Cricetulus griseus: one gene and its partner. The protein of the gene in region 1 interacts with the protein of each later gene in a pairwise test. Links are inferred from orthologs where the notes say so. Each region holds a gene or a part of one and is shown on either strand. Other genes may lie near its edges.

Evidence for each region.
Region 2: the proteins of Tollip (region 1) and Odam interact in a two-hybrid assay, tested with the Homo sapiens proteins (2 studies listed by BioGRID and IntAct). The two-hybrid records come from large-scale screens. The link is inferred for Cricetulus griseus from reciprocal best matches to the Homo sapiens genes TOLLIP and ODAM.

Annotation. Positions count from the first base shown.
Region 1 is NC_048596.1:59,283,332-59,287,625, forward strand, and holds the start of Tollip (toll-interacting protein), read left to right. Parts: upstream 1-1,451; 5' UTR 1,452-1,578; coding exon 1,579-1,611; intron 1,612-4,294. UniProt on the Homo sapiens protein: Component of the signaling pathway of IL-1 and Toll-like receptors. Inhibits cell activation by microbial products. Recruits IRAK1 to the IL-1 receptor complex. Inhibits IRAK1 phosphorylation and kinase activity.
Region 2 is NW_023276807.1:153,070,279-153,074,561, reverse strand, and holds the start of Odam (odontogenic ameloblast-associated protein), read right to left. Parts: upstream 2,851-4,283; coding exon 2,800-2,850; intron 2,716-2,799; coding exon 2,674-2,715; intron 1,891-2,673; coding exon 1,843-1,890; intron 1,397-1,842; coding exon 1,154-1,396; intron 755-1,153; coding exon 710-754; intron 1-709. UniProt on the Homo sapiens protein: Tooth-associated epithelia protein that probably plays a role in odontogenesis, the complex process that results in the initiation and generation of the tooth. May be incorporated in the enamel matrix at the end of mineralization process.

The DNA of each region.
Region 1 (4,294 bases):
CTAGTCAAATTCTATCACAGCCCACATACACCAGAACTTCTGCTATCTACAGCAAATCTAGTAGAAACAAGGTTATGTACCATGTGACCACCACCAGAGAGCAAATGCTGTGATTCTGCTTTGACAGACTATGCCACTTGAACAGACTTTGGGGACTTACTGGGGAATTTTATGTGATAAAGTTTTTCCTCAGTAACAATTCTCCCTGGTTTTGTTGCTTGTTTTGTTTGTTTGTTTACCTCTTTAATATTGAGGGATTTGGGAATCCATTAAAGGGCATATGTGTGAACATCTCAAACCCAATCATTTTTAGCAGGTCTTAGTCACAAGAAGTTCCTAGTCTGCTGTCCAGATACAATCTTACACAACTTGCAGGATGCCCGGTGCATTTTTAGACACAATTCAGAGGTTTTGTCTATAACCAAGGGGAAAGGATTGTATAGGGATGTGAACCCCAGGAAGGGATCATGGGTCTCTTATAAATTGTCTGCCATATTGGGTGTCGAGTCTTATGTCCTGGTCTGCCTTAGCTTCATCAGCTGCAGACCAGTGAGAACTGGATAGACAGCTGCATCCAGGGACAGAGCCCAGATGCAGTCCCATGTGCTATCAAGGCAGAGACTGGTAATGGAGGTAGAAGATGAGGTCTTAGAGATGAAGGGAACACAATAGAACACAGTGTGAGTGAAGAAATGTACTAGGAGTACATTTGGTGCTGGGCAGTACCAAGTCTACTGCAGCACAAGCGAAAGAGATCTGCAGATCTGGGGCCACCACAGGATAAACTTAAAGGAACTACATTGAGTCTATCTGGCCAAAGGTCCTTCTGAAGAGAGCGCTCTGAAGAGGCAAGAGTGGGTGGCCTGGGTTTCCTAGGGACATCTCTTCCATTCATTTGGCAAATTCAAGGCTGGTGGAAGTGTTCCAGCCCACTCTTGCCTCTCCTTCAGCTTGGCTTCTTTTTTTAACATTTAAATATAAATGTTCTTCCTCCCACAGCATTTTGAAGTAATTCAAGGGCTTGAGGGTAACTGGTTTTACTGCCATCTGCTTTCTCCTCAAGCTGCCAAACATCAGTTTTCTCCTTTCTTCAAGCGGATCAGGCACCTTGCAGGTGGTGGTCTCCTAGCTATCTCCAGCCAGGTGACTGGACGTTGTGACGACTTGACGGAGTTGAGATAAACATCCATGTTTCGGGTGCCTGGTCCTGGGTCAACAGACTGGCTCACGCCGAGAAACACTCAGGTTTAGGCATGCGCAGACAGCCTGGCAGCCATTTTAAGGGCTTACCGTACTACAGGAGTGACCACCGCGCAGGCGTACACGGGAGACTTAACCCGCCCTCACCCCAGCCCTTTGCACGCATGCGCGGATTAGCCGGAAGGGGCGGGATTAGCCATTGCGAAGCGGCTGCGCCTTGGGAATGCCGGGGTGGGGCGGGGCGGGGTGACTGTCAGCTGACTGAGGCGCAGATTGCCTCGCGGGACAACGGTCGGCGACGCAGGTTGAGGTGGGGGCGGAAGAACTCTCCCGGCGGGTCTCTGTGCGGTCGGTGAGGCACAGGGTCGCCGTAACATCATGGCGACCACCGTCAGCACGCAGCGCGGGCCGGTGAGTCCACTGGGCGAGGGCCGGACTGGGGCAACGCAGCCTGAGATCGGGCTCCTCTTGTCAGCCCCTCGTGGGGCCCCTCGCGAGTTGCTCGGCCGTCCCGGAGCTGTGCGGGTCCCACCTTCGGGTACCCAAACGGAGTAGCGACTCTGGTCCTGAGGGTCTCGCGGGTGGAAGAAGGCAGAGCTTGATGGTTCTTTGGATGCCCACGGGCCCTGAAACCCCTGAATCCCTAGAGGGGCCCTGAATCCCTTAGTCCTCCACACAGAGGAACGTGACCCCATTGGTTCCCCATACTGAGAGGGACCCCGACTCCCCTTAGTTCCCCGGGTGGAAAAAGGGTCCCGAACCCCTTACTTCCCCAGATGTATACCAACCCCTTGGTCTCTCAGATGGACATGGGCCCTGACGCTTGGTTCCCCAAATGGAGAGTGGTCCTGACCCTGTTAATTTCCCAAACTGATAGTCTTGGCTCCCATGATCTCTCAGAGGAGTGGGGCCTGACACTCCTCTGATGTTTCAGAGATGGTGAAAGATCCCACTTTGTAATCAGCTCTTAGTTGTGTCAGTTTCTTCCTCTCCCTGCTCCTATAGAGAACAGGGTTGCTACCTCTTGAGCCCGGTTAGTGGCTACCTTTCCAAGTCTCAGTTGTTCATCTATAAATGAGGAGAAGGGAGCAGAAAACGTGGAAAACCAACAGTGATGGCTCCTAAGGGTTGTCTTGGGGTCCACAACACTACCTGTCTCTCCTACCTCTAGTGTGGATGTCCTCCCAGTAGTTCTCTGAGACTGATATGAGTTGGATGTTGTTAGCTAACAGTGGTTATGTGTGTAGAACACAGTTCTGATGGCTCCATTGTCTTTTCCCTGAAGTTATTGAAAGTGTCTGCAAAGCCTTTGGTTTCCCAGGTCCCTCACCCTGACAGCTTGGTGTTGACAGGTGTGTGTGTGTGTGTGTGTGTGTGTGTGTGTGTGTGTGTGTGTGTGTAACAGATAAATCATTGGGGTAGATGACTGATTTTCTGACTTTGAAGAAAGCCCCAGGCAGGGTGCTTTTTTGGAGGGCTTTAAAGCCAGACTTCCTGACCAGAGTTGGGGTTACCTTCATGTTCAGCAACCCTTCTTCATCCTCACTGTGTCTCACCAAACTACAGAAGATTGCTAGTGGCTGACAGAAGAGGAAGGGAGCCAGTACTTTGCTCTTTTCCTATCTCCTGCCAAGTGGACACAGGGCCAGGCAGAGTGGACCGTTCCTTACTGTGTGTCTGAGAGTGCCTTTACTTCTGTGGCTGGACTGCATTTGAATTCATCTGATGGTGAGCTTAATGTCCGTCATTAATTGAGTAAGAAGGTGTCCTCCCGTGTTGCTGAGGGAAACTCTGGTGCTGTGTGTATAGAGCTGGGGTAACCCACGCTGTGATGAGTAATTGGGAGTGTCGGGTGACATTCATACTAGCGCAATCTGTGGAGTCAAGTCCTGACGCTTGATCTTTCTACTTGCCCAGTGTTCTAGGGACCACAGAGTCTTATAAATAAACATAGACAGCTGAATGGTTTTTTAGGAGCACTCTTGATGACTTGTAATATTGTGTCTGGACTCTAAGAAATTGTCATCAGTGACAGATATCTTAGACTTTGCTTGGGATGTATTATTGGCCACAGTATTTAGAGCAATTGGACACTGAGTCAAAAGTGTGGAGCACAGGGACACAGCTATGCATGGTGACCCATATAAAGCCAGAAAATAACAGTCACCATCAGGTCTGTGCTCTTAATCATTGAAAACAGAAAGGTATGGACTTGGTGTGGGAGGAGTGAATGGGTTATGGCCAGGGTCTCTTAAAGACTAGAAGATCTTGAACTTGATCTGGTAAGTGCTGTTTCTTAGAGTGCATGCCTTTTACAGTTTTCAGCTTTTCACTGGCTGCTTCACCTAGAATGATCTACCTATATGCCTCTGGATTCATTAATATTTGCAAAGGTTTTTTTAGCCAGTTGTCAGGGTCTAGTAGAACTGTCAAGAGTGTGGTAGTTCTTCCCTACTATTCATGTCATACTCAGGGTTGTGGAGCTGTAAAGATAAACAGAAGTACACATTTGGTCAGTACTGGGTACTATTGGCAGCCTTCTTTTTGTAACCGCAGCAGGGGGTTAGGCTATGGTTCAGAGTCCCCTTCCCAGGAGCCTGGACTAGGCTTGGGCAGTTGTCTCTATAGCTGACCTTCACCTCTGATGAGTGGGGAAGGACTGACAGTGTCTTGGGAGGCTATAGAAGGCTGAGGACACTCTCATCTGGGCTAGGAGGGTTCTCTATTCTTGGTTGAGGGTTTGGGATGGGGCAAGTATGAGGAGGAGAGCCAGAACCCACATAATTGTGAAGGAATAAGTTTTTCCCTGGGACATTTGGTATTTTACGTTTTTTTTTTGTGTTTTGTTTTTTTTGTTTTGTTTTGTTTTGTTTTGTTTAATAGCCACTATAGGGCACTACAATCTTTCATAGCCATCTCACTTTTGAAAATACTGGTATTTTGAAATTACCCCTTTTGCTACCCAGTCTGCACACCTGCTCCTTTCCTACAGTAGTGGTTTTTTTTTTTTTTTTTTTTTTGCGGGGGGTGGGGTGGGGGGGTGGGGGGGTCCGAGACAGGGTTTCTCTGTAGCTTTAGAGCATGTCCTGGAACT
Region 2 (4,283 bases), on another chromosome or scaffold:
TGTTGGAACAAGTCAATAGTCTTCAAGTGAATAACAATTTATATATAGCCCTGTTTCTTTGATTATGAGATATTAAACAGTTAGTTTTCCTAGTATCAACAAGCTGTTTTATGTTAACATCACAAATTTATTAGCTAATATCAATTTAATTTTTCCTATTAAAGGGAAATTTTTAAGTTAATTATAATGTGGAGTCAAATCATAAATACTGCATACAAGAGGCTGGGGAAGTGTTCAGGGGAGTTTTATAACAGATGAATAATGTATATCAGTGTAATTTATAATAAAAATATTATTACTACAATGTGTGCTATTTACATCTACATATTAGATATAAATATAAGATTCTCTGAAACCAAATTTGAGAGGGTACAAAGTTCACTCATGGTATTACTCTTTAGTTGTTCCCCAGTGTTGGCACTTAAATACAGAGAAGACATGTACTGGCTTTACTGAACTCCTTCCCTTCTGATAGTGATGTCATAGGTACTCAAGGGTGCTAGATATCCTTTTCAGCTGCCTGTTCTTAAAGAATCAAGTAAGTCCAGCATTAGCAGATGTCTAGAAGCCAGTGATGGAACCTCTAGCCAGTGATGGGTGGCCCACAGGTGTGAAAGCCCTGATGCTGGAGACCCAGGGAACAAGATGAAGTGCTATGGAGAGTGCAATGAGCCACTTATGTGTCAGTCATGGAATTCTTTTCACTCACCTGTGTTTGATCTTGGGGCACTTTGAAGGGAACCATGTAGGACATCTGAAGGAAACAAACAAGCAAAACCAGAAAACCATATAAGCAAATTATATCTGACCTGTTAAAATTCTTAGTCTAATTTTCCTAGAGCTAGTTTCCCATGTACCATTTGCATTAGCAATATTCCACTAAGGTTTATCTTCTGCATGAGTTATAATTTATGCAAATTATGCATCCACATGTTGTTTTAGCTCCTGAATGATGACTATATTCTAGGGTAATTGATTTTAATGTTATTTTTATATTTAAAAAATCAGAAAATATAAGAAGATATTTTCAGTGTTGTTTGAAACAGAACAGGAGAAATAAGACTTAGTAAGACCCCTGCCATATTTCAAAGCTAATTAATGATAGCGTTCATGTTCTGTCTTATAGCAGCAAGATGGAAGAAGACCAACTTACAAGGTTAGCAACCTGTTGGCTTTGTGGTGGTGTCTGTGGCTGTGAGAGATCTGGTTGGCCAGCCTGACCTCCTTGGGCAAATCCAACCTGTCCTGAGAAAGGTATCTGATTTGGGAATAGCCCAGCCAAGCTCTCTAATGTTGAGAGTGGAAACTGTGGGAGTCCTGGGACCTGAGCCTGCTGCTGCTGCTGTTGCTGTTGCAGAAACCCAGGGAAGGGAGGAATCCAGGGGTTAAAAGCACCCTGTGAAAAACAAAGATAGAAAGGAAATATTATTCTTTCATATTTAAAAAAAGAACTTGAAATCAAACCTGAGCAATAAAGACAACAATGTAGGCAATTTATATATTTCAAGTCTTATGAAAAGATAACATTTCAACTGCTTATGATCCTCACAAATTGAGAGGTTTTCAACTGTCATGAGAAATATGGAATGCGAAGAGTTGGTAAAAAAGCACACATTTCTTCAGAAGTTTGACTGTATTTAATTTTTCTTTTCTTTTTCCTCTTGGGTAGCTAGATATGACTTTGTTTAAAATAGTTAACTATCTCAAAAGTCTTCAGAATTAGTGTCAGCACATAGCAAATTCTTAGCAATATAAATGGATGCACTTTGTTCTCATCCCATGCCATAAGAAATGCTCATTACAGATACATTCCCTCTGAACTGATTATTTACATAGTAGTACCTGAAATTGCAGTGGCAAAAGTCGACCATTATTTAGACCCAGGAGTAACTGGAAAAGGAGAGACAATGGGAAAATGATGACTATGTACTCTGAAATATTTTCTAGAGAGAGCACAAATCAGAGCTAGTTAATCCACTTCCAGTCCAAAGTGACACATTTTTCCAGTAAGACAGCATTGAATTACAGTGATTAGTGGTTAGATTTGAAAACAAGGTTCAAGTTTTTCTGTTGTTGTTTGCATTGTAATTTCATGATTGCTGTCAATAAAGAATAGTCATGTTTGTTGTAAGAAGATGGCATACAAACAATGGCTTGAACATTTTAATTCCTAAGTATTTGCATTCCTCAATTTCTTTCCTACTCATGGAAAATAGTGCTTTTATTAAAATAATTTTTATTTAAATTAAAACCAGTCTTATTTGACATACCAATCCCAGTTCCCTCTCCCTCCCGACCTCCCATTCCTCCACCATCTCTCCATCCCACTCCCATCCACTCGTCATGGAAGGTGAGGCCTCCCATGGAGGATGATCAAAGTCAATGAGACTGCACAGTTTTAGCTTAACCCAGTGGTTTGGTATTTCATGTTTTTGGAATTTCATATATTTAGTACCTACATTAGAACTACTGGAACAAAGAATACAGATGATACAACGTTTAGAGAACTTATGTTTACACAAAGAAGACAAAACAACTCTATAGAAGCCATCTGGAAGACAAAGCAACCAAGCAGCCTGGAAATACCTAGTGGTCTGGATGCAGGCTTTTATGTCTTCACAACGTGTTTTCACCTACAGAACACAGTAGAATGCTTTAATTACTTAAACTAACCTCATGACTGTTGCTAGCAGACAATAGGCGCTGTGAGACAAGCTAAAAAGAAAATGAAGAAAAATGATGAAGGAGGGGAAATGCACAGGTGTACGTGATGAAATCAAAATATCATGAACCACTTACCGGAGCTGCTGATGTAGCTCCTATGAGTCCAAGAAGAATTAAAATTTTCATTTTTCAGATGATATACCTACACGATGAGTTGTAATACTTAGCTTTAGAAGATACTCTTTGCTTAAAATTTCATGACAAAAATAAAGGCATGGCAAGATTCATCAGATGGCATTGTCAAATTGAGTAAGTTTCTCTCTATTTACTTAACATTTTATGGCTCAAAGTAACAAACTTTATCTTTGTGACTATCTCTCAATATAGATATTTATGGGAAAATTGTTTTCTTGGTCTTAAAGCTCATTTAGTGGCAGGTGTTGTGGCCATTATCACTGTTAGCCTCTTACTGAAGGGAACGCATCCTCCAATCCATGGAGCCCCCTGCCTGGGATTAACTGACTGTTTCCTTGTTATTAATGCCTGCAGTAAAAATGTATCACAACAAAGATCTAACAGTCCCAGGCCAAAGAGAAAATTTCCATTAGAAGTCAAATAATATTCATGAGGATTAACTGTAATGGTTGCAGCATTGTTTTTTTAATCCAGGAAATGGAGAAGGTAAAAAGCAGTAGTGATACATACTGTAACGTCTTATCCCTTGCTTCTACTTGTAAAATTTCCCAGTATTTCACAACATGGACACACACACCAGGGTGACCACGGTCTTGTATTGGAGTTTGGTTCTTAAAATATCAAAGCAAAGATTTGATATCTTACCTTGCTCCTTTGTAAGATCTGTGTCCCCTTCTTTCTTAGTTCTGTTCTTCAAATCGTCTCCTAACATTTAAAACCCATCTTTAGAAAAAGAGGGACCAATCATGATTGAAAGGGACCAGTGATTCAGTGGGTTTTGGACAATGGCTTAGCTAATAACCCCTTTCCTCCTCATCATCGTGGTGTATGTACTCCCACACCCCAAGTAATGCTTTTCAATTACCCCTGAGACATTTTGTTGTGATCACTCTTGGTTTCTCCTTGGTCATGACTAACTCCCCTGGGCTAATTTTGTTCCACTCCTTTTATCCTTTTAAAAAATGGGTACCTCAAACAAGTAACCTGAAACCCTTTACTAAACTCAAGACTACATAAGTGATGCTTCTTTTTTTTTTTTTAAACTCTGAGAAGAAAATTCAAGTAGAACACAGATCTTCATGAAAGTTCAAAGTTTTGTCAGTAACAGATATTATCCAGGGCTCTGTAATTAGGCTAAGGTAATGTGAGCTAGATTCACTTAAATTTGATTTTTTAATTGAAAAATATATTCTTCTCTCATACAATACATTGAGACCATAGTTTCTCCTCCCTCTACTCTTTCCAGCTCCCCTACCCATATCTTTTCCTCCTTAGCCCATATCCCCTATGTTCCTCTTCAGAAAAGAGAAGTCCTCCAAGAGACAACAACCAAACACAATAAACCAAGATACAATAAGACAAGGCAAAAGCTCTCATACTGAGGCAGGACAAGGCAAGCTAATTGGAGGAAAAGAGTCCCAAGA